3 linked regions of the Callithrix jacchus genome follow. The protein of the gene in region 3 binds, or shares a complex with, the protein of the main gene of each other region. Links are inferred from orthologs where the notes say so. Each region holds a gene or a part of one and is shown on either strand. Other genes may lie near its edges.

What was found. Proteins that work in one complex are often made in the same cells at the same time.
Region 1: the proteins of ARPC1B (region 3) and ARPC4 are in contact, whole or in part, in a cryo-EM structure (PDB 6YW6), measured with the Homo sapiens proteins. The link is inferred for Callithrix jacchus from reciprocal best matches to the Homo sapiens genes ARPC1B and ARPC4. Residues at the interface, in NP_005711.1 of Homo sapiens: Glu9, Pro10, Asn28, Gln54, Thr72, Arg74, Asn96, Arg97, Ala98, Arg100, Ser143, Thr144, Cys162, Trp204, His206, Leu245, Pro246, His263, Ala319, Gly320, Lys326, Asn327, Ser328, Met350; in NP_005709.1 of Homo sapiens: Gln17, Cys21, Leu22, Glu23, Asn24, Phe25, Ser26, Ser27, Gln28, Val29, Glu31, Arg32, Glu45, Leu46, Leu48, Glu124, Gln125, Tyr127, Lys128, His129.
Region 2: ARPC1B (region 3) and ARPC2 share a complex: the UniProt entries of both Homo sapiens proteins name them as parts of the arp2/3 complex. The link is inferred for Callithrix jacchus from reciprocal best matches to the Homo sapiens genes ARPC1B and ARPC2.

The regions. Positions count from the first base shown.
Region 1 is NC_133516.1:66,961,704-66,968,840, reverse strand, and holds part of ARPC4 (actin-related protein 2/3 complex subunit 4), read right to left. Parts: intron 5,186-7,137; coding exon 5,074-5,185; intron 3,914-5,073; coding exon 3,818-3,913; intron 2,340-3,817; coding exon 2,169-2,339; intron 1-2,168. UniProt on the Homo sapiens protein: Actin-binding component of the Arp2/3 complex, a multiprotein complex that mediates actin polymerization upon stimulation by nucleation-promoting factor (NPF).
Region 2 is NC_133507.1:139,990,022-139,996,413, reverse strand, and holds part of ARPC2 (actin-related protein 2/3 complex subunit 2), read right to left. Parts: intron 3,574-6,392; coding exon 3,473-3,573; intron 3,138-3,472; coding exon 3,037-3,137; intron 1-3,036. UniProt on the Homo sapiens protein: Actin-binding component of the Arp2/3 complex, a multiprotein complex that mediates actin polymerization upon stimulation by nucleation-promoting factor (NPF).
Region 3 is NC_133503.1:14,185,902-14,193,742, forward strand, and holds the end of ARPC1B (actin-related protein 2/3 complex subunit 1B), read right to left. Parts: intron 7,636-7,841; coding exon 7,528-7,635; intron 6,110-7,527; coding exon 5,903-6,109; intron 5,826-5,902; coding exon 5,750-5,825; intron 3,922-5,749; coding exon 3,716-3,921; intron 2,737-3,715; coding exon 2,646-2,736; intron 2,318-2,645; coding exon 2,279-2,317; 3' UTR 1,982-2,278; downstream 1-1,981. Other genes in the region: PDAP1 (28 kDa heat- and acid-stable phosphoprotein), read left to right, coding at 157-215. UniProt on the Homo sapiens protein: Component of the Arp2/3 complex, a multiprotein complex that mediates actin polymerization upon stimulation by nucleation-promoting factor (NPF).

The DNA.
Region 1 (7,137 bases), on a different chromosome or scaffold from region 3:
CTCACATGCAAGGGGCTTTGGGACTTAGAGGGCCAAGTGCAGAAGGATCCAGGTTCTGGTACTTTTGTGTCAAGCTCTGGATGATCTGGCCCTTGAAATATTTTCTGCCCTCAAGGGTCCCCCATGCTGCCTAAGACAGTCCTGGACATTTTAGAGACCAAAGGTTGTGAACCAATGCCCATGCCTGCAACTATTCCAAAGATGAGTACTGTATGGCCCACGTGGTATTTATATGAATTAGTTGCTAACCTTGAAAACATGGGAGACACCATATACAAATCCAAATCTGGGGGCTCAATGGGCTGGAGCTGTGTGGGAGCCAGCCCCTGCAGATGAGGCATGTGCTCAGCAGCTCCTCACCCTGCCCTCTCCATACTCCATACTTAGCCCACTCCACAGCCACCCGACCTTTGCATGCACCTGATTTGTGACCCCTGACACATCTAAGATCTAAGATAGGTTATGGTACTATCTTAGATCTCTGAGTCAGACAACCCAGTTCCATGTTCTGGTTCCTCCTCTTACTGGCTGAGGGACCTTGGACAGTTGCTTTTAATTCCAGAGTCCCAGTTTACTGATCTCTAAAATGGTGATAATAGCTGACTCAAAAATTGTTTTGAGGCCGGGTGTGGTGGTTCAAGCCTGTAATCCCAGCACTTTGGGAGGCTGAGGCGGGTGGATCACGAGGTCAAGAGATAGAGACCATCCTGGTCAACATGGTGAAACCCCGTCTCTACTAAAAAATACAAAAAATTAGCTGGGCATGGTGGTGCGTGCCTGTAATCCCAGCTACTCGGGAGGCTGAGGCAGGAGAATTGCCTGAACCCGGGAAGTGGAGGTTGCGGTGAGCCGAGATCGTGCCATTGCACTCCAGCCTGGGTAACAAGAGCAAAACTCCATCTCAAAAAAAAAAAAAAAAATTGTTTTGAGTAATAAATGGGACATGTGAACATGCTTTTTTAGGTGTCTAATTCTATGAAATGTAATTGTCACAAATAAGTAAATGATTATTGAATGAGTGAGCCAAAGATTCAATTGGAACAAGAGCTATTTTCCCCTTCCAGTTCAATCTAGAGGCCTCCTAGTACCCTGGACATAAAATTTTGATACTGCAATACATGGAAAGCTTACTATGTACCAGGTGCTACATTTTACACATATGGTCTCATTTAATGCTCAACCACTCTGAAAGACATGTATTAACTACCAAATCCTCATTTCACAGCTGAGGAAACTGAGGCTTAGTTGAGAATTCAGTGACATGCCTAAGTAGGCGGTGGAACCTGGTTTCACACACAGGTTGTCGGCCTCCACAGCTGACTGAGCTCAACAACCACGCTGATCTGTGTGCACAGCACAGCTACTTTGTATGCTGGCCACCCTGAGTATAATTAAATCCCAGGGGAAGCAGGTATAATTTCCATTTTTAGCAATCTGAGCTCCTTCTGGACTGGGTGTGCACTCACTGGTGAGAGTACACACTAAGTCTACTGCCTAGAGATCACAGCCACTCTGGGTAGAACATGCCAACAAACCAAAGATTGTTTAGAAAAGTAGAAAAAAAAAGAAGGCATGTCTTGAATATCTAAACAACTAAGAACTATGTCATCAGTTACCAATGTAAATAATTCCACCTCTTCATATGACTACAGTCCTTTCGATTAGAAAGGCATAAACAATATAAGAGGAATCTGGAGGACTTAGGCCATGCAAGTGATGGAAAACAGGTTGAAGGAATCATGACTTTAAGCCTAAGAAACAGACGCTAAGGAAAGTACTGATGTCTATTTGAGAAGTGGAATTATACCATGATTAACTGTCCTATATTCCGGGAAAATTCACATGCAGACTTCACTTGCCTCACTTAGGGTTTGAACTAGATAGAGGTAAGGACTTTATGAACATCCTGAGATATAGAAATGAGTGTCCAAGTTCCTACAAGAGACTAAGAGACATCCTAGACACCCAAAAATACAGAAAATGCCTGTAGCGCTCAGAGATGAACCTGGGGCCTTCTAGCTCCAAAGCACCTGAGCAACCTGCTGTGTTCTAGGGGTTCCAAAGATATAAACACACTGCTAGCACCCCTTTCCCACCAGGTGCTAAGTTCTCAACATGACTCCAGATCCTTCAGCCTCTGGAAGGAAAGCAGAAAAGCCTATACTCACATTCTTAAGGAACTCCTCAGCCACAATGCGGGCACGGGCATTGACTGACAGCTTCATTTCACTGATCTCCTTGTCAATCTCCTCCATGAAGTGGATCACAAAGTCCACCAACTTGTGTTTGTACATCTGCTCTGTGTGGAAGTTGGTGATCAGAAAGCTGATGTCATACCCCTAGGAAAGAAGACAGCAGGGAGGAAGAAGGGAAGGAACAGGAGAGAATTAGCACCCCAGGGGAAGTGAGCTGGTCATGTCCTCCACTCATTCACATGTTTCTCACTGGCTGTGATCTTCTCCCAAGCTACACACCCTTCCAGTCAGCAGCCCACCTGCTCTGGGGAAGGGCGTGTAGGTTGGATCCAAGCAACTCAATCCAGTTGAGAATTCTGTGTGTATCAGACATCTCTGGAAGACTATCTGTGGCACAAACAACTCTACATTCAGAATGAGTCAAGGCACTTGAAGTCTTGTTACAGAAGAATCTAATCAAACAACAGGGAACATTTAGTCCAGAAAAGAGATGATGTGGAAGATGAGTGGGATTAAGGTATTTTTTCTGCTGGAGGCGTATGTGAGGAAGAGGAATTTTATTTACTCCAGGTGGCCAAAGAGGTTAGATCTAGGACCGGGAGAGAAAAATTTGGCTCAGGATGAGGAAGAACTTGGCCAACATGCCTGATGTATCTGATGATGGCATATCCTGCTGTGTGGTAGTTGTGGGGATGCTTTAAGTTAAGTTGGTAAGGAGTCTGTGGAGGAGGGTCAAGTACAAAGTCAGGCAACAACTGACCCAGTGTTAACTGTGGCTTTAAGAGACTATGATTCACTTTAGGAGGCCGAGATGGGTGGATCACCTGAGGTCACGAGACCAGCCTGACCAACATGATGAAACCCCATCTCTACTAAAATTACAAAATTAACCAGGCACGGTAGCACATGGTAGCTACTCAGGAGGCTGAGGCAGGAGAAATGGTTTGAACCTGGGAGGCAGAGGTTTCAGTGAGTCGAGATCACATCATTGTACTCCAGCCTGGGCAACAAGAGCAAAACTCCAACGACAATAACAACAACAAAATCACTGTGCTCTTTCTGCTGCTAGACTGTAGGCTCTGGGAATAAGCAATGTATCTTATATTTTTTGCCTTTTCCTTTTTCTTTTTTTAGATGGAGTCTCACTCTGTCACCCAGGCTGCGTGCAGTGGCACAATCTCGGCTCACTGTAACTTCTGCTTCCCGGGTTGAAGCAATTCTCTGCCTCAGCCTCCCGAGTAGCTGGAATTACAGGTGCCCGCCATCACACTGGGCTTATTTTTATATTTTTAGTATAGATGGGATGGCACCATCTTGGCCAGGCTGGTCTTGAACTCCTGACCTCATGATCCACCCTCCTCGGCCTCCCAAAGTGTTGGGATTACAGGCATGAGCCACCACTCCTGGTCCTTTTTTGCCTTTTGTATGGCTGAGGTAGACCCAACTTTTCCTAGGCTTCTGATCCTCTTGGTTCCCACTCCAGCTGAGATGAAGGCCAACTCTCAGTTCAGGCGGTGGTGCCAAACAGCTGGAAGAGCAGCAATCCAGGTTCTAGAAACAATTCCAGGCCATTCTGTAGCAGGATCCTGGGTATTGCAAATTCATGGGTCACAAGGTCTCACCTCCACAGGCTTTCTTCGAAGGATGAAGAAGTTTTCTGCTCGCATCATCATGAAGCGCATGAATTTGTGGCATAAAATCTTCTCAATCTCATCGGCCTGGGAAATAAAAGGGAGAAACATTTCTCTAAAGCCGACACCCAAGCCAAAAATACCCTGTAGCCTGGTCTTCTGACTCCAATTTCTCCAAAGCTCCCAGGAGACAGTGAGGTTTGGTACTCGGAAGGATCACTGAAGTGAGGGACCTGGCTGCCAACTGAAACAAGGGTCTATCTTGGGGCATCTCTTAATGAGGACCCATTCCAGAGAGGTAATTCTGGCAAACAGAGTCTTTTATGGCTTCTTTACGAGTCTACAGCGATACGCCAAGCTGCCCTTCTCATTCCCACTTCACTAGTGTTACATTTCCCAGGGTGTGTCGCAGCACCACCTGGGCTATCAGAGATAACTTTAGGTGGTCTCTGCTTTATAACACTGAACATCCAACAATCTCTGAAGTTTCTCCCTTCTGAACTCTCAACATTTCTTTTTTTTTTTTTTTTGAGATGGAGTCTCCCTCTGTTGCCCAGGCTGGAGTGCAGTGGCACAATCTCAGCCCACTGCAACCTCCACCTCCCAGGTCCAAGTGATTCTTGTGCCTCAACCTCCCAAGTAGCTGGGATTACAGGCACGTGCCACCGTACCCGGCCCTGAACGCTCAACATTTGTAAAGAAAGACTTCTGCAGCTGGTTGCTAGTATGCCTTAACACCTCCCAACACTTGTTAATCTCCCATTCTAACAAAGAAAGCAGGCCCCAGGGTTAGAACTTTCTGTAGAACACAGTATGTAGTCTGCATTTAATAATGCTGTTTTGTTTTTATCCTGTTGACAATTTAGAGTTGCCCACTACTGGCTGGGCATGGTGATTCATGCCTGTAATCCCAGCACTTTGGGAGGCTGAGGCAGGCAGATCTCCTGCGGTCAGGAGATTGAGTCCATCCTGACCAACATGGTGAAACCCCATCTCTACTAAAAATACAAAAATTAGATGGACATGTTGGTGGGCGCCTATAATCCCAGCTACTCAGGAGGCTGAGGCAGGAGAATTGCTTGAACCTGGGAGGCAGAAGTTGCAGTGAGCCAAGATCTTGCCACTGCACTCCAGCCTAGGCAACAAGAGTGAGCCTCCATCTGAATGTGGCACGCTGATCTCTCAGATGGGGACCCCTGGATTGAAAGTGAGGTCCTTATGTTACGTCTCTTACAAGGTGACCTTACCTGTTTCACAGCAATGCTGACCCGGACAGAGTTGATGGAGCCCTCAATCAGAACCTTTTCCTTCTCATTCCTGCTGATGGTCACAGGTTGTAACAGGAGTTCTTTGCTACTCCTGAAAACACAATGTCACAGAGTACTCTGTACTATAGAGGGACACAACAGTCAGAGTGACCCCACAGCAAGTCCTGGAATCACTATGACACCATGGAGTCCAAGGAATAGAAGACTCACAAGCAGAAGTGCTCCAAGATGGGGACCAGTGAGTGTGTTCTTCAGCAGAAAGAGCACAGGCTCTGAAGTCAGAGCGAAAAGGTTTTGAAATCCAGCCTCCTCTGTTACTTTCCTGGGCAAGTTACCCTGTTGGAATCTCAATTTTCTCATCTGTAAAATGACTCTGATTCCTATTTCATTGGCAAGGACTGAGAGAGATCAAAAAAGGGTCAGGTATCTAATAGCGTGCCTGGCACATAGTAGGAGCTTTACAAAGGACAGCTGATTTTAGTAACTACAAGTTAAATATCCCCAATCTGTAAATCTGAAATCCAAAATCTGAAACTGGCTGGGCACAGTAGCTCATCCCTGTAACTCCAGCACTTTGGGAGGCTGAGGCAGGTGGATCACTTGAGGTCAGGGGTTTGAGACCAGCCTGGCCAACATGGTGAAATCCCATCTCTACTAAAAACATAAAAATTAGCCAGGTGTGGTGGCACACCCCTATAACCCCAGCTTCTCAGGAGGCTGAGGCACAAGAATTGCTTGAACTCAGGAGGTGGCAGCTGCAATGAGCCAAGATTACACCACTTTACTCCAGCTTGAGCGACAGAATACGACTCTATCTCAAAAAAAAAAAAATCTGAAAGTTTCTGAGTGCTGACAAGATGCTCAAAGGAGATGCTCACTGGAGCATTTGGATTTGGAATTAGGAATGCTCAACTGGTTAAGTATCTGCAAATATTCCACAATCCAAAATACCTCCGGTCCTAAGCATTTTGCTTAAGGGATACTCAACTTATACAGGCAAATCAATATACCATTTAGAAATGCAGAGAGAATACCTGTCTTAGAAGTAGGGAAAGACTAAAACTGAACACAGTTTGGCTTCCTTTAATTATCAATCCAGAAATGATTATTTTTTTTTGCCTCTAGGGGCGGAGAGTGGCAGTCTATAGGAAATAACACAAAGGGCAGAGAAGATCAAAATCTGTCACACCAAACCCACTGATCCCCTATTCCAGCTCCCAAGAAGCCAAGTAGCACTGAGGGTGTGAAGCTCTTAAGACACCACAGTGAACCGAACAGACTAGGCCTTCAAGACCCCTACGAGTTCAGGTTCCAAGGTAATGTCTCCAAATACCTAGAGATCTGTAACAGTAATTAATTGTGGTGTGGTGTGTCTAAACTGGTATCATTTTCAAAGGCCCACTGGAAATCATGAACATTAAGCAAATATAACATCTTATCAGTTATTTTTAAAATTCAAAATTAAATGTTATCACTTAATGCAGTAACCCAGTTTATCTCAGTTATGTATGTACCAGATTGAATTTTATTTACTTATTTTTTGAGATAAGGTCTCACCCACGCTGGAGTGCACTGTCACAATGTTGGCTCACTGCAACCTCTACCTCCCAGGCTCAAGAGATCCTCCCACCTCAGCCTCCCAAGAAGGTGGGTCTGCAGGCATGCACCACCAAACCTGACTATTTTTGTGTATTTTTTTTGGTGGAGATGGAGTCTTGCCATATTGCCCAGGCTGATCTTGAACTCCAGGACTCAAGCGATCTGCCCACTTTAGCCTCCTAAAGTGCTCAGATTATAGGTGTGAGCCACTGTGCCTGGCCTCTAGATTGAATTTTAAAGGGGGAGAAGATATTTATGGAATGGAAATTAGATAAGAGGAAAATCATTCAAAATATGGAGTATTTGGATTAGGGGGTCAGAGGGTCTAGGCTGGTAGGGAAAAAAAAAATCCCTGATCCTTGCATTAGAAAAGTAGGGAGATAGCATCTTAGACAAATTAACTAATCTGACCATTCTTTAAACTACTAATATTTCAACAATGCC
Region 2 (6,392 bases), on a different chromosome or scaffold from region 3:
CCCACCCCACAGTCCTAGACTAGATGGGATCTCAAAGAGACACCAAACAAGAGGTGGAAAGGGCTAGATTTCCTAAGTAGAGGCACTGGAACCACAGGGCATGGGCTAAAATTCGGCTTTCAAAGAATGATTTCACCAGCTCTTCCTTCCCATCGGATACTCTGGACGCCCAGGAGTATTAGTGTTAAGTTCATAAGGACATTCAAATACCAAGTTAGACAGAAGAATCACCTGTTCACAATTTTGGGATGGCCTACATGTACTGAATTTCCGACTGGGCTCATCTGTCTTCTTAGTACTACCTCATTTGTCAGCTCCTCCTACAGAGCTTCTACCTTTCAGGGCTCTCAGACAGCAGTTCCTTCATCTGTCACTATGAGGACAGGTGGTTCAAAGCAATCCTCAGAACTTCCATGGTTAAAGGCATTTGTTATGTGGTGACTCCTCCTCTGGCTTACAAAACACTTGCCTGGTTCGAGGCTCCTGAATTGTGGTGTCCTGTTCCAGCTACTATTTCTCCAGACTGGCTAGCTGGTTCACAAGGACAGAGCCTGTAACTGTTTCTAACAGTATCTGGGAAAGTAGCCTGGAAGCTAGAGCTGAGAACTATGGGAAATCAGGGCGAAAACAAGGGCTCTCCATTTTCCCTGTCTTGGATGTATTGCTCACTCTAAAATGAAGCTACATCTTATTTACCCTTCGCTCAAAATGAAAAGCTCATGAGTATTCAATTCTGGGCGGACCATCGAGGGCTCCTGGCATCTGCCCACAGCTGAGTCACTTAACTCCTACCCACCATTAGTAACATAATCTGGTTTTTAGGGTGGATGCAGTTGTTTGTCTCCTGCTTCTCCTTTCTAGGGCCCAACTCTGCCAAAGAGAAGTTGCAGCACAGAAGGCAAAGTTGCTCTTTCTAAGTCCCAGAGAGGAGGTTGATGAACTGTTTATTTCAAGGATTCATCCTCTGCCAGGTCTCTCATCAGGACAGGGAGCTATCCCTGCACCTACACAACTGCACTCACTGGGCAGGGACTCCCAAGACTACCCGCTGGCTGTGGAATAGGGTGGCAGCTGCCTGATAGGCCTTCCTCCTGGATGCACAAGCAGCTACCAGCGCCAAAAGTGATGCAGGCAGGCCTAAGGCTATGAGGACGCCTAGCCTTCAGTCTGGTAATCACAGGCTGCCAGGTCAGGCTTTCTTTTCACTGTAACTGGCTGCTGGTATACCTCTTGGCCTCTACGGAACTGCCCATCTACTGGGCCCAGAAAGCAGCTTGAAATTCGTTGCCTCACCCTCCAGGTCATGAAATAGGTACCTGGTGAGAAAAGCACCCCTGTGTAGAGCAGGCAGGGAAAGGGGAAAATGGAGACACCAGGATGGAGACCAGGTTCTGGAGGAGCAGCAAGAAAACATCCTCTCACCTGCCCACCCACCTCGTTGGTCGCTTTGTCCATTTAAGGATCTGCCTAAGAAGCTGCAGAAAATAAACAACGCTGCCATTTCTTTACATGGTATTTGGACACTCCTCTCTGAGCTGCTACAGAGACAGGCCTTTGCTAAAAGTCAGGGGTGACTTAACCTGCTTTTTGCAAATGTCTGAAAACCCTCCCCTACTGCTCAGGCCCTTGGGATCTCTCTCATCCTTTTAAATGGCAGCAGAAACTAACTTGGTAGAAGAGCCCTCAATGCAAGAGAGGGAGTGTAAAGCCCTGGGCACGCCACACCCTCTAAAAGTTTGCCTCAAGAGTGCTGGGCCAGGTGCAGTGGCTCATGTCTGTTATCCCAACACTTTGGGAGTCTGAGGTAGGAGGATCACCTGAGCCCAGGAGTTCGAGACTAGCCTGGACAACATGGCGAAATTCCGTCTCTACAAATTTCAAAAATTAGCCAGCTATGATGGTGCATACGTGTGGTCTCAGCTACTTGGGGGGGCTGGGGTGAAAGATTACTTGCACCCCAGTGGTTCACCACTGCACTGCAGCCTGGGGATCAGAGTGAGACTCTGTCTTAAAAAAAAAAAAAGAATACTGGGCTGGGCGTGCTGGCTCACGCCTGTAATCCCAGCACTTTGGGAGGCCAAGGTCGGTGGATCATGAGGTCAAGAGTTTGAGACCAGCTTGGCCAAAATGGTGAAACTCCATCTCTACTAAAAATACAAAAAAGTTAGCTTGGCATAGTGGCAAGTGCCTGTAGTCCCAGCTACTTGGGAAGCTGAGGCAAGACAACCCAGGAGGCAGAGGCTGCAGCGAACTAAAATCATGCCTTTGCACTCCAGCCAGTATACCAAGAGCAAAACTTCATCTCAAAAAAGTACTGGGCTGTTGGCAAACACATTGGTTGTTAGGGAGGCTTATGACTTCAAGACTTTTAGTTCAACTGGTACAAAGGACAGCACATGGGCCAGGTGCGGTGGCTCATGCCTATAATCCCAGCACTTTGGGAAGCCAAGGCAGGCAGATTGCCTGAGCTCAGGAGTTCGAGACCAGCCTGGGCAACATGGTGAAACCATCTCTACTAAAATACAAAGTATTAGCTGGGTGTGGCTGTGTATACCTGTAATCCCAGCTACTTGGGATGCTGAGGCAGGAGAACTGCTTGAACCCAGAGGCAGAGGTTGCAGTGAGCTGAGATAGCACCACTGTACTCTAGCCTGGGCAACAGAGCGCTTAGTGGGGTGGTTTCAGCCCTATTTACCCAATTAAAGGTCCCTAAGCAACTTATTCCATTTCTCCAGAAAGACCACAAGAAGGACAAGACTGACCTCAGAACTCAGGCCCAAAAGTAACAGTTTCTTTGTAAACTTTATTTCCTAGCTGTCATTCTCAGAGCTCACAAAAATGTGGAAACAAGGAAACCCACCCTGGCCCATATGGCAGCAAAAACCTGGAATCCCACCTTTGGTCTATCTGCTTAGCCCTGCTGGCCTCACATGTAGCCAGTGCCCGGACACGTGGAGGACCAGGCCACCAGCATCCACTGCTTCCTTCTCGGTGGCTCAGGAGAAGACGGTCCTGCTGGGGTACTGGCTAACTTACGTGATTGTTTTCATTTCTTTTTTCTCGGCATCTGGGCGTGCGCGGTTCAGCACCTTGAGGAAGTCAGATGTTTTTGCCCGCATACGTGTGTGAATATAGGCCTGGGAACAAACACAAAAGAAGGTACTGAAGCGCAGTCATGGTCTAGAAAGACAGCTTTGCTTTCATCAGGGGCATCTGAGAACAGACACCTTGGGAATACTCCCCTGCAGGGAAGCAGGAAGGTGAGCAATTCTGGAAACATAGTCATCTCTGCTATGGGGAGGGGAGGGGGACAGTGGCTTGATGAAGAGAGGCCATGATTTCTTGAAGCTTCTAGAACTATCTACCTAAGAGTCAATATTCACAGCCTAGACTAACGGAATGACTTTTTGTTATGAGTTCTGGTGGAGGGAAAGACCCAGGGCACAGACGCTGAGATGCTGCCCGCCCTCACCTTAGAGCACTTGATGTGGTAGTGCAGGTAGTCCCGGAATGTGTGGATCAGGTTGATGGTGTTGTCTCGAGCACTGGCATTGGTGTGGCGAGGGAATAGCACTGAAGGTGGAGAACACAAGGCTTCAGAACACAAATGTCAAAGGGTGAGGAGGAACAACAGCCTAGTGAACTTCGCTCTCTCTCTGAAGTACACTCCACTCATGTCAGTATTATCAGGCTGTGTCAGGGTTGTTTTTTTGAGGCACGGAAGGATACACAGCATGACCAGGAGAGGTGTCAATGAGTGTGAACAGAGGAGCCCATGGAAAAACAGGGCTTGACCCTGAGCCTCCATTCTAGGTCTGGATTCTGCAGCTATGAATTTTGAAATCCATTCCTGGTCTCCCGCACATGTACTATAGCTCCTGCCTCTGCAGTTGGGCATACTCCAGAATCACACTAACTGGCTATAACAGTTTACCTTAAGGAATCAGGATTAGGAAATGCAGCTGCCCGTCTTAGGTCCGTGGTGCTGAAATAGAGTAAACCTTCACAGAAAATAAGATGCCAGAGTATTTCCCATAGTCTCACTGTGAAAACCAGCACCTGAACCCTCTTGATAGGCCAGGTAGGAAGAGCTGCTCTGACTGGACCTGAGTGAAGTCCACCCTGTGGCACCAGCCACCTAAAGACCTGTGTGAGGCTGGACTCGGTGGCTCATGCCTGTAATCCCAGCACTTTGGGAGGCTGACGCGGGGAAATCATCTGAGGTCAGGAGTCCAAGACCAGCCTGGGGAACATGGTGAAACCCCATATCTACTAAAAATAAAAAAATTATCCAGGGATGATGGTGTCTCCCCGTAATCCCAGCTACTCAGGAGGCTGAGGCGAGAGAATTGCCTGAATCCGGGAGGCAGAGGTTGCAGTGAGTGAGTTGAGATCGCATCACTGCACTCCAGCCTGGGTGACAGTGCAAGACTCCATCTCACAAAAGAAAAAGAAAAAAGACCTGTGTGGTCATTACTCGGTCCTTTGCACTGGAGCAGACCTGCATGCCCCTCCTGCCCTGGTTTTTTGGAATCTTCTTTATCTGCTGAACTTCCCCTACTCACTATCTGCAAAACCCTGAGGTTCTCTGATGTTTTTGTTGAAATGAAAAGGAATGCCTCCTAGGGATGTATGGATTTTCTGTGTCAACTTGCCCTGACCTGAAAGTAAATGAATACCACAATAGAAGATAACTGTATTTCAAAGAATCTAAGGTGCTTATGACTATAAGTCTGCCGTAATTTTATGTACGAGAGAAAAATGCTGCCAATCAAACTATGACATGCCATGAGTTGTAAGATGCATCCCAGATTCAAAGATAAAATCTTGAAAAAAAAAATTTATAGCTGGCTAGGCATGGTGGCACACGCCTGTAATCCCAGCACTTTGGGAGGTCGAAGTGGCTGAGATCAGCCTGGCCAACATGGCAAAGCCCCGTTGCTACTAAAAATACAAAAATCAGCCCAGTGTGGTGGCATGTGCCTGTAGTATCAGCTACTAGTGAAGCTGAGGCACGAGAATTGTTTGAGCCTGGGAAGTGGAGGTCGTGGTGAGCCAAGATCACACCACTGCGCTCCAGCCTGGGTGACAGAGAGAAAGAAAAGTGTACAATTCAGATTTAATGAAATTTGGTAGAACAACACATTTGGTTTATTCTTAAAGATAAGCAGGTTCACCTTTACTAGTAAGGTAAATTAAATTACATTTCACAAAAGGAGGCATTCCAGTGGCATCAGGTGCAGTATGAACACAGTGTTAACTCCAAACTGTGAGCTATCATAATCAGCTAGTGCATGAGGCTGGAGCAACTGAAGAAGACTTGAATTTCTTCCATGAAAAAGTGGAGTCTGTGCATCATGGCTGGAGCCTGGGTTTAATAAGCAAAAAAACCTAAGAAGTGCCAAATGACAGAGAACTTCCATCTGGCTGCTTAGGTGGTTCTCTTCTTAACTCCTTTTTGTGAGACAGGGTCTTGCTCTGTCACCCAGGCTGGAGTGCAGTGATGCAATCACAGCTCATTGCAGCCTTGACCTCCTGGGTTCAAGTGATCCTCCCACCTCAGCCTCCAAGTAGCTGTGACTTACAGGCATGCACTACCATGCCTAGCTATCTTTTTTTTTTTGAGACAGTCTCCCTTTGTTGCCCAGGATGGAGTACAGCAGGATGATCTCGGCTCACTGCAACCTCTGCCTCCCAGATTCAAGCAATTCTCACGCCTCAGCTGGCCGAGGGGCTGGGACTACAGGCACATGCCACCATGTCCAACTAATTTTTGTATTTTTAGTAGAGACATGGTTTCACCATGTTAGCCAGATTGGTCTCCAACTCCTGACATCAAGTGATCTGCCTGCCTTGGCCTCCCGAAGTGCTGGGATTACAGGTAGAGATGAGGTTGTGCCATGTTGCCCAGGCTGGTCCCAAACTCCTGGACTCAAGCATTCCACCAGCTTCGGCCTCCCAAAGCACTGGTGTTATAAGCGTGAGCCACTGTGCCTGGCCTATCCCTAACTCTTTTTTTTTTCTTTTTGAGACAAGGTCTCACTCTGTCACCCAGGTTGGAGTGCAATGGTGTGATCTTGGTTCACTGCAACCTCTGCCTCCTGGGTCAAGGGATTCTCCTGCCTCAGCCTCCTGAGGAGCTGGGAATACAGATGCATGCCACCACCACCCCCAGCTAATTTTTTTTTGTATTTTTTGGCAGAGATAGAGTTTCTCCACATTGGCCAGGCTGGTCTTCAACTCCTCACCTCAAGCCCCACAGTGTTAGGGTTATTATAGGCGTGAGCCGCCATACCCATCCTCCTTAACTCTTGATATCAGAATTCAGTCTTATTTTTCTTCAAGATTTAAGAAAAATGGGGAAAAAAAAAAAAAAAAGGAAATGATTACTG
Region 3 (7,841 bases):
TCGTCTCCTGCACCTCGGCCCTTCCTGGGTCCCTTCTTTGTTGCTCAGAACATTTTCTGTGGCCCTTCAGACCTAAAGGTCTAGGGTTCTGGCACATGTGTTGGGAGTAGGGGGTTGCTTTGTTCTAACCCCTGCCCTTCTCCTCCCACCCCTCAGCAAAAGATGATGCCACACTGTCGGGAAAAAGAATGCAGTCACTCTCCCTGAATAAGTAAATGCAAGATGCCGAGGACCTGGGCCACGCTGCCGGGACCTCTGCTGTGTCTCACCTACCCTGTGCCCTGGCACCGCTGCAACAGCCCCTCACGGCCAGGAGTCCCCCACAGCCTGGGGCCTCCTCTTCATCTTGGCACAGCAATTGTTTGGGGAGATGGGGGGGCTGGGGGAGGGGCAAGCTGCTATCTTTGAGACAGAAAGATGCAGGACAGCATTTCGTATGTAACCATTTGAATGTTTTCGCTGTTTTTAGAATTCAGAGCCCTTGTTGGGGGGTGCCTGGGAGATGGGGTATGAAGAGCTTTCCTTTGTCTGGTAGATAGCACGGACGGGGGTGGTCATGCCAGGAGGCATCTGCTGATGGGTTTGCTACAACCAGCCCCGGACTGTGTTGCCTGGGTGCTCATTCAAAGAGGGGCTGTCATCTGGGAGCCTGTGCCACTGGGTCCTTAAGGGTCATGGCTTGTCTGTCCTGTCTGCCCTCTCCACCCAGTTCCTACCCACCTGGCCAGGGCCAGTGCCCATTTTAACCCTACCCATTGATCATTTCAAGAAACCTGTTTACTGTGCAGCACCCAGGCAAAACACGCTCCACAAATTCAACTTGTATATTTGGCAGATTAAACTTGACATTATCGTAATCTTTGTTTTGTAATCCATCCTTTGGCTCCTGTGCCCAAGCCATTTTTATGCAGCAGGATATGGTGTCATGCTAAGGCACATGCACCTGGCAAGGTTCAGGACAGGTATTTACCTGAGGCATGACATTTGTCAGGCAGCACTGAGCACGGTGCAGGGACTGGACCCCAGGATCAGGGCTGGGAGAGACCTTAGCTGCCACAGCCTGCCCCTGCCTTCCTTAGCCAAGTCGGGATCTTGGGCCTCAGCAGCCAGAGACCCTTCCAGGCCACAGCAGGCTGAAGCAGCACCAGGATCCCGGCCTGGCCTGCAGGTGTCCCCTGGGGGTAATAGCCTCAGGAGTTCTGTACCAGAGGAAGCCACCCAAGAGCTGGTACCCAGCACTGGCAGCACTTCTCTCAATCCTCTGTGACGGAGACTGATAGTGGGGAAACTGAGGTTTAGGAGTGGCCTGCCTGTGGATTCAGGCCAGTGAAAGGTGACCCCATAGCACCTGTCTGCCCCTGTACCCTGTGAACAGCAGTATTTTGTGTGCATGGTTCCAAGGGGCGAGGGGCTCTATTGATGTAACTGGGTGCCAGGTAGGAGTAGAGCTACTCTTTCTCGTTTTGGGCAGCCCCCCACCTTAAGGTAGGGCAAGAGGAGGACTGTCTTAGGCACACAGAGGAAACTTCACTAAACATGGCCTCAGGCCAGCCACGGAACTCCTCCTTCAAGAACGTGTCACAAGACACCTACCTTATGACTACCGTCTCAGAGCCAAAATTATTTAGTATAGAGCCCTCCCAGCAACCCCCACCACACTTGTGTGCTTGACCGTGTTGGAGTCGACAGCACCAGGAGCCCTGGGGGATCCCACAGCTGTGAGTATCTGCCTCACCCTGACCTCCAAGCCCTTGGCCTGCTGAAGAAAACTTCCAATGCTGACCCCCAAGGAGCAGGAATCACCTCAAAGGTATTACCAAAGCCACCTCCTCTGCCCTGGAAATCTTGTAGCTGCTGCCCAGGTTCAAGTGTACAGCCATGAAAATGAGATGGAGGAAGGCGCAAGAAGGTGAGGGCTGTGGTAAGGTCCCTGATGCCCCTGTGGCTCTGAGACAGGGTAGTCAATAAGATCCACAATTGCTTTGTTTTTTGACACAGTTGCATTTTATTACCTCCACATTTTGAAGCAGTTCATGACCAGCACAGTGCTTTGGGGGAATTTTTTTTTTCCAATAAATGAAAGCATTTCTTTAAGAAAAAGGCACATATTCCTTGAATAGGTAAGAAAAGCTTCCCATCTGTCCCCTCCCTTTTTGAGGGAGCAGCCCCTGTGGGAACGCATACCAGTACCCCAGAAACATTCAGCAAAGCAACCAGTAGCCTCCCTGACCCTTCACCCTGCTTCCCCAGCAGCTGGGATGAAGACATTCCGCACAGGTCATTTGATCTTGAGGTCCTTCAAGGCTGACTCCAAGCTCTGCAGGGAGGCAGAAAGGACAGGCTGGTTCTCAATTGTCCTACAGGCACTCCCCACCCCAGGGACCTGATCACACATCAGCCCCAGAACAGCAGAGGGCAGAGAACCTGGACTTTGAGTCTGTCAGACATGGGTTTGAATCTCGGCCCTGAAGATGGGTGCCCCAGTGAGCACCAAGGCCCAGATGTAAAGAGGCCGCCTCCACCTCTCATCCCCATGCAGTGCCTTCTCTGCAGGAATGAAGGATGGGGGTCATCTCCAGGGAGGGAGGATGGGGGGAAAGAGCTGACCTGGGGCATGGCAGGAAGCCAGGAGGGGGAAGCCTCACCTTCACATCCCAGATACTCATGCCACCGTCCATGCCAGTGGTGCAAAACTGTGAGCACTTGGCCTTGCCCCCGCTGAGCACCGAGATCTGGCTGCAAAGAGGAAGAGGAGCTTATGAATCCAACCTGTGCACCAGGCTAAGGCCCACCCTGTCCACCAGGAGCTTCCAGACTTCTAGGGGAGCGGGCTCCAGTGAGAAGTGCCGAGAGGAGGTGTGACAGCCAGGGACAGCCTGGGCAGTAAAGTGGGCTTAGGAGTCAGGTCTGCTTTGGAGACGAGCAGTGGTGTGCGGGGTGCAGGCAAATGGGACAGGACACTCAAAGTCCTGGGAGGCAGGAAGGATGTGTCTATGGAGTATACAGTGCCAGCAACACAGGTGGACAGGACAAAAGAGATGGGGGTGGGAGCACCCAGGGGCTAACAGCCAGGCAAAGGTGTTTCGTCTGAGGAAGCCATCTGATCTGGCGGCCAGAGGTGGGTTTACAGGCTGAAGGGCTTGACCAAAGTCTTGCCATACAGCTTCCTCTGATTTGCTTCCGAGTGGACACACGTGGCTTGCAGCTCTTGTGCTTTGGAGAGCCTCTTTCCCGCCCCCCCGCCCACCCTAGAGCCTTGGAAGGCTGCAGGAGACTCTCAGCTTCACCCCCACCTCGCTGGGTTCTAGCAATAGACTTGTCGCAGCTGTGACCCCGTCCAGGAAGGCCACCCTCCCCACCCCCGTCACTGCCTGGCCAGCCCTACTACAGATCCCACCCAGCCATGTCCCAGAAATGCAAAGCTAGGCTGCTTGGCCCCTATCGGATACTATTTTTGTTCAACCTGAAGAGGTCGACCCCACCTTTCATGTCGGGTCCCAATGCGTCCCTCTTGGGTCCACTAGCCCCAGTGCTGCTAGGGTTAGATGGAGACGGTCCCGCCCACAACTTCTTCTGCTGCGAGGCCACGCCCCATCTATTGGCTCCCACCCTATGCAGTTATCGGCCTCGCCCCTCACCCCACGCCTACCCCCCCAGCAGCAGTGAGAAGCCACGCCTACCCTCGGGCAAATCAAGGCCCCGCCCCCGCCCTCACCTGACGCTATTCTTGTGCAGCGAGTCCAGGCCCGAGCCTGCGGCCGTGCTGCCCTCGGAGTTCGCCTTCTTGTCAAGGTTCTGGAAGCGCTCGCGGGCCGTCAAGCCACGCTGTGAGCTCTGCTTGGGCACATCCAGCCGCCCGCCGAAGCTCAGCGTCCCCGCAGCGGCGTCGTAGGTGAACAGCACCGGGAAGCAGTCATGGCCCTGCGAGGGGGCGGGGGTGCCATTGGAGCGCCGCCGAGGGAAAACCGAGGCCGGAGGGGAGGCCAAGAGGACGTCTGGCGGCTCCGGAGGCCCTAATGGCAGGTGTATCAACACCGGAGGCGATGCTGCAGGCTGCCCCCTCCCTCAGCAAGGCCAGCGTTGGGACTCCTGGGGACCCAGGCGCCTTCTGTCCGGCCTGGGTAGTTACACCTGCTCTAAGGGAGATCCCTGCAGCTGGTTGCTCTTTAAGGCAAAAATCAGGCCTAACCTGCCCCTGGCACCCCCATATGTTTGCCGAGGGGTGAAAAGGGACTTAATAGATGTGGGGAGAGGAGAGGGAGAGCAGCGCCCTTCCCGGACACCTGGAGGAACTGCATGCCCTGAACTCCTGCCTTTGCATTAGGCGTGGCCTTGCCATTGCACTAGCCAATAAAATATGGGCAGAAATGTTAGGACCCAGGGCATTATCCCCCAGGTTCCAGCTGCCTCATGGCATCTGGGGCAGCATGCTGGGGACAGCCTCCATCAGAGCCCCTCACAACACCCACACTGGACATATAATGTGAGCAAGAAGTAAATCTCTTTTTTTTTTTTTTGGCGGGGAGGGGGGTGGAGGGGGATGGAATCTCTGTGGCCCAGGCTGGAGTGCAGTGGCAGGATCTTGGCTCACTACAACCCCTGCCTCTGGGTTCAGGCAGTTCTCCTGCCTTAGCCTCCCCCGTAGCTGGCTGGGGTTACAAGTGTCCGCCACCATGCCTGGCTAATTTTTGTATATTTATTAGAGATAGGGTTTTGCTTTGTTGGCCAGGCTGGTCTTGAACTCCTGACCTCAAGTGATCTGCCCTCCTCAGCCTCCAAAAATGCTAGGATTACAGGCATGAGCCACCAAGCCTGGATTTTTTTTTTTTTTTGAGACAGATTCTCTGTTGCCCAGGCTGAAGTGCAGTGGCATGAACATAGCTCACTTCAGAAGCCTCAACCTCCCAGGCTCAAGTGATCCACCTGCCTCAGTCTCCTAAGTAACTGGGATTATGAGATTACAGGTACACCACCACACCCAGCTAATTTCTTAACTTTTTGCAGAGACAAGGGTCTCACGGTGTTGTCTCAAACTCATGGCCTCATAAGGTGGAAGTGATACTTCCACCTTAACCTGGGATTTTAAGCATGAGCCACCATACCTGGCCAAATCTTTTTTTGTTTTTTTTTTTTTTTTGAGATGGAGTTTCACTCTTGTTACCCAGGCTGGAGTGCAATGGCGCGATCTCGGCTCACCACAACCTCCGCCTCCTGGGTTCAGGCAATTCTCCTGCCTCAGCCTCCTGAGTAGCTGGGATTATAGGCACACACCACCATGCCCACCTAATTTTTTGTATTTTTAGTAGAGACGGGGTTTCACCATGTTGACCAGGATGGTCTGGATCTCTTGACCTTGTGATCCACCTGCCTCGACCTCCCAAAGTGCTGGGATTACAGGCTTGAGCCACCGCGCCCGGCATCTTTTTTTTTTTTTAAGATGGGGTTTCACCGTGTTGGTCAGGCTGGTCTTGAACTCCCGACCTCAGGTGATCCGCCCGCCTTGGCCTCCAAAGTGCTTGGATTACAGGTGTGAGCCACCACGCTCGGCCCTGGCCAAATCTTTATTCTGTTAAGCAACTGCAGCCAGGGTCTTTCGGTTACTGCAGCATAACCCAAGAATGCAAGGAAGAAAAAAAGGCGGGAGACAGGAGAAAGGAGGGAAGAGATGAGTGAGAGTTGCTGGGCTCTTTGCGAAGCCTACCACAAAGTTCTGACCACACCCCCCCCTCCTTCCCTCCCCATTCCTTACCGCTGCCACCAGGCTGTTGTCTGTGATGAAGGTCAGCGCCAGCAGCGGCAGTGTTTCAGAGGCCAGGGTCGCGACGCTGAGGGGAGAGAGCTGTCAGCCATGCTGTCCCACTCCTCTGCACTCACCTCCTCCCCAGGGATGGCCTCTACTCACGCCATCTTCTTCTCGGCATCAGCCAGGCACAAGGTGCTGTCATGGCTCACCCAGGCCACGCGGCTCCCACTGGCTGAGAAGCAGACGCCATGTACCCAGCCGCAGCTACTGCTGGACTCAAACATCAGCTCCCCAAAGGGCATCTTAGAGCCCCATGGGGTGGGTGCCGGCCGCTCCTCCACCTCCTTGATGTAGGCTGAAAAGATCCTATCAGGAGAGGCAAAAAAGGGTAAAGTGGTGCACACCTGTAGTCTCAGCTACTCAAGAGGCTGAGGCGGGAGGATCACTTGAACCCAGGAGGTTAAGGCTGTAGTGAGCTGTGATTGTACTACTGCATTCCAGTTTGGGCCACAGAGACTGACTCAAAATTTAAAAAAATATATTTTTAAAGGGTTAACAGGTGGCTGGGCGCAGTGGCTCATGCCTGTAATCCCAACACTGTTAGGAGGCTAAGGTGGGAGGATTTCTTGAGGCCGAGAGTTCAAGACCAACCTGGGCAACATAGTGAGACCCCATTGCTACTAAGAATAAAAGCACCTACCCGGGCATAGTGGTTGTGCCTATAGTCCCAGCTACTTTCAAAGTTGAGATAGGAGGATTGCTTGAGACTAGGAGGTCGAGGCTGCAGTGAGCTGTCATTGCCCCACTGTATTCCAGCCTGGGTGACAGAGCAAGACCTTGTCTCAAAAAAAAAATAAAAACAGTGAATGGCAGCTGGAGACTCTGTTTCAGGCCTTAAAACAATGAAGCAGGGTTTGTTTCAGCTTCAGTCATTTATACCTTGGTATGAATAAGCACACCAACTCATTTTCCTTCAGACTGAAGCCAGGAAACTATAGGGGTAGGAAGTTCTCGTGAGTCAGGAGAGAAGGCCCTGGGAAGAACTTTTCTGGCATTAAGTGGTGGCAAGGGCCGAAGTTCAAGACTACCCTGGCCAACACAGCAAGATCCTGTCAGCCAGGGGTGGTGGCTCAAGCCTGTAATCCCAGCACTTTGTGAGGCCGAGGTGGGCGGATCACCCGAGGTCAGGAGTTTGAGACCAGCCTGGCCAACATGGTGAAATCCCATCTGTACTAAAAATACAAAAATCAGCCAGGCATGGTAGTATGCACCTGTAGTCCCAGCTATTCCGGAGGCTGAGGCTGGAGAACCACTTGAACTCAGGAGACAAAGGCTGCAGTGAGTAGAGATGGCACCACCACACCCCAGCCTGGGCTAATGAGCGAAGACTCTGTCTCAAAAAAAAAAAAAAAGCCCATCTAGCTGAGCATGGTAGTCTTGCTTGGGAAGATGAGAGGCAAGAGGATCACTTGAGCCCAGGATTTGGAGGCTGCAGTGAGCTATGACTACACCACTGCATTCCAGTCTGGGCAATGGAGCAAGTCCCTATCTCAAAAAAATAAAACAGGTGGGCGGGGGCACGTCCTGCTGAGACATGAAGGGTTCCCCAGGGACTAGAACCTTCAACTGATGCCCAGGTCATCCACTGATAGCAGCTCTGGAGGAGGTCTAGAAGGTGAGGTGTAGAACTTTCAGGTGGAGGTCCCCCAACCCCCCAATCCCTGCTGTGATTTCGGCAGTCAGCTGACATCAGCCCCGCCCTCCCCCATGGTGCCCTGTCTCACCGGCACTTGAAGTCGCAGGAGCCAGCAGCCAGCAGCACATTGTTGGGGTGCCAGTCCAGGCTGAGGACGGTGGAGCGGATGGGCTTCTTGATGTGCTTGCAAACCCACCTGGGCACAGCGGTCAGGCAGACAAGGAGAGAGGGACAGGCAGGTGGGACTCACGGACCTCAGCACCAGGGACTCCAGGCACCCACTGCTCCCTGCAGCCACCGAAGACCCAGGAGGGAGGCAAATGGCTATTCCCAGCCTACGAGGCTGCCAGGGCCGTGGGGCAGCAGGGATGTGCTGGGTTGCTTCTGGAGTGAGAACTCTGT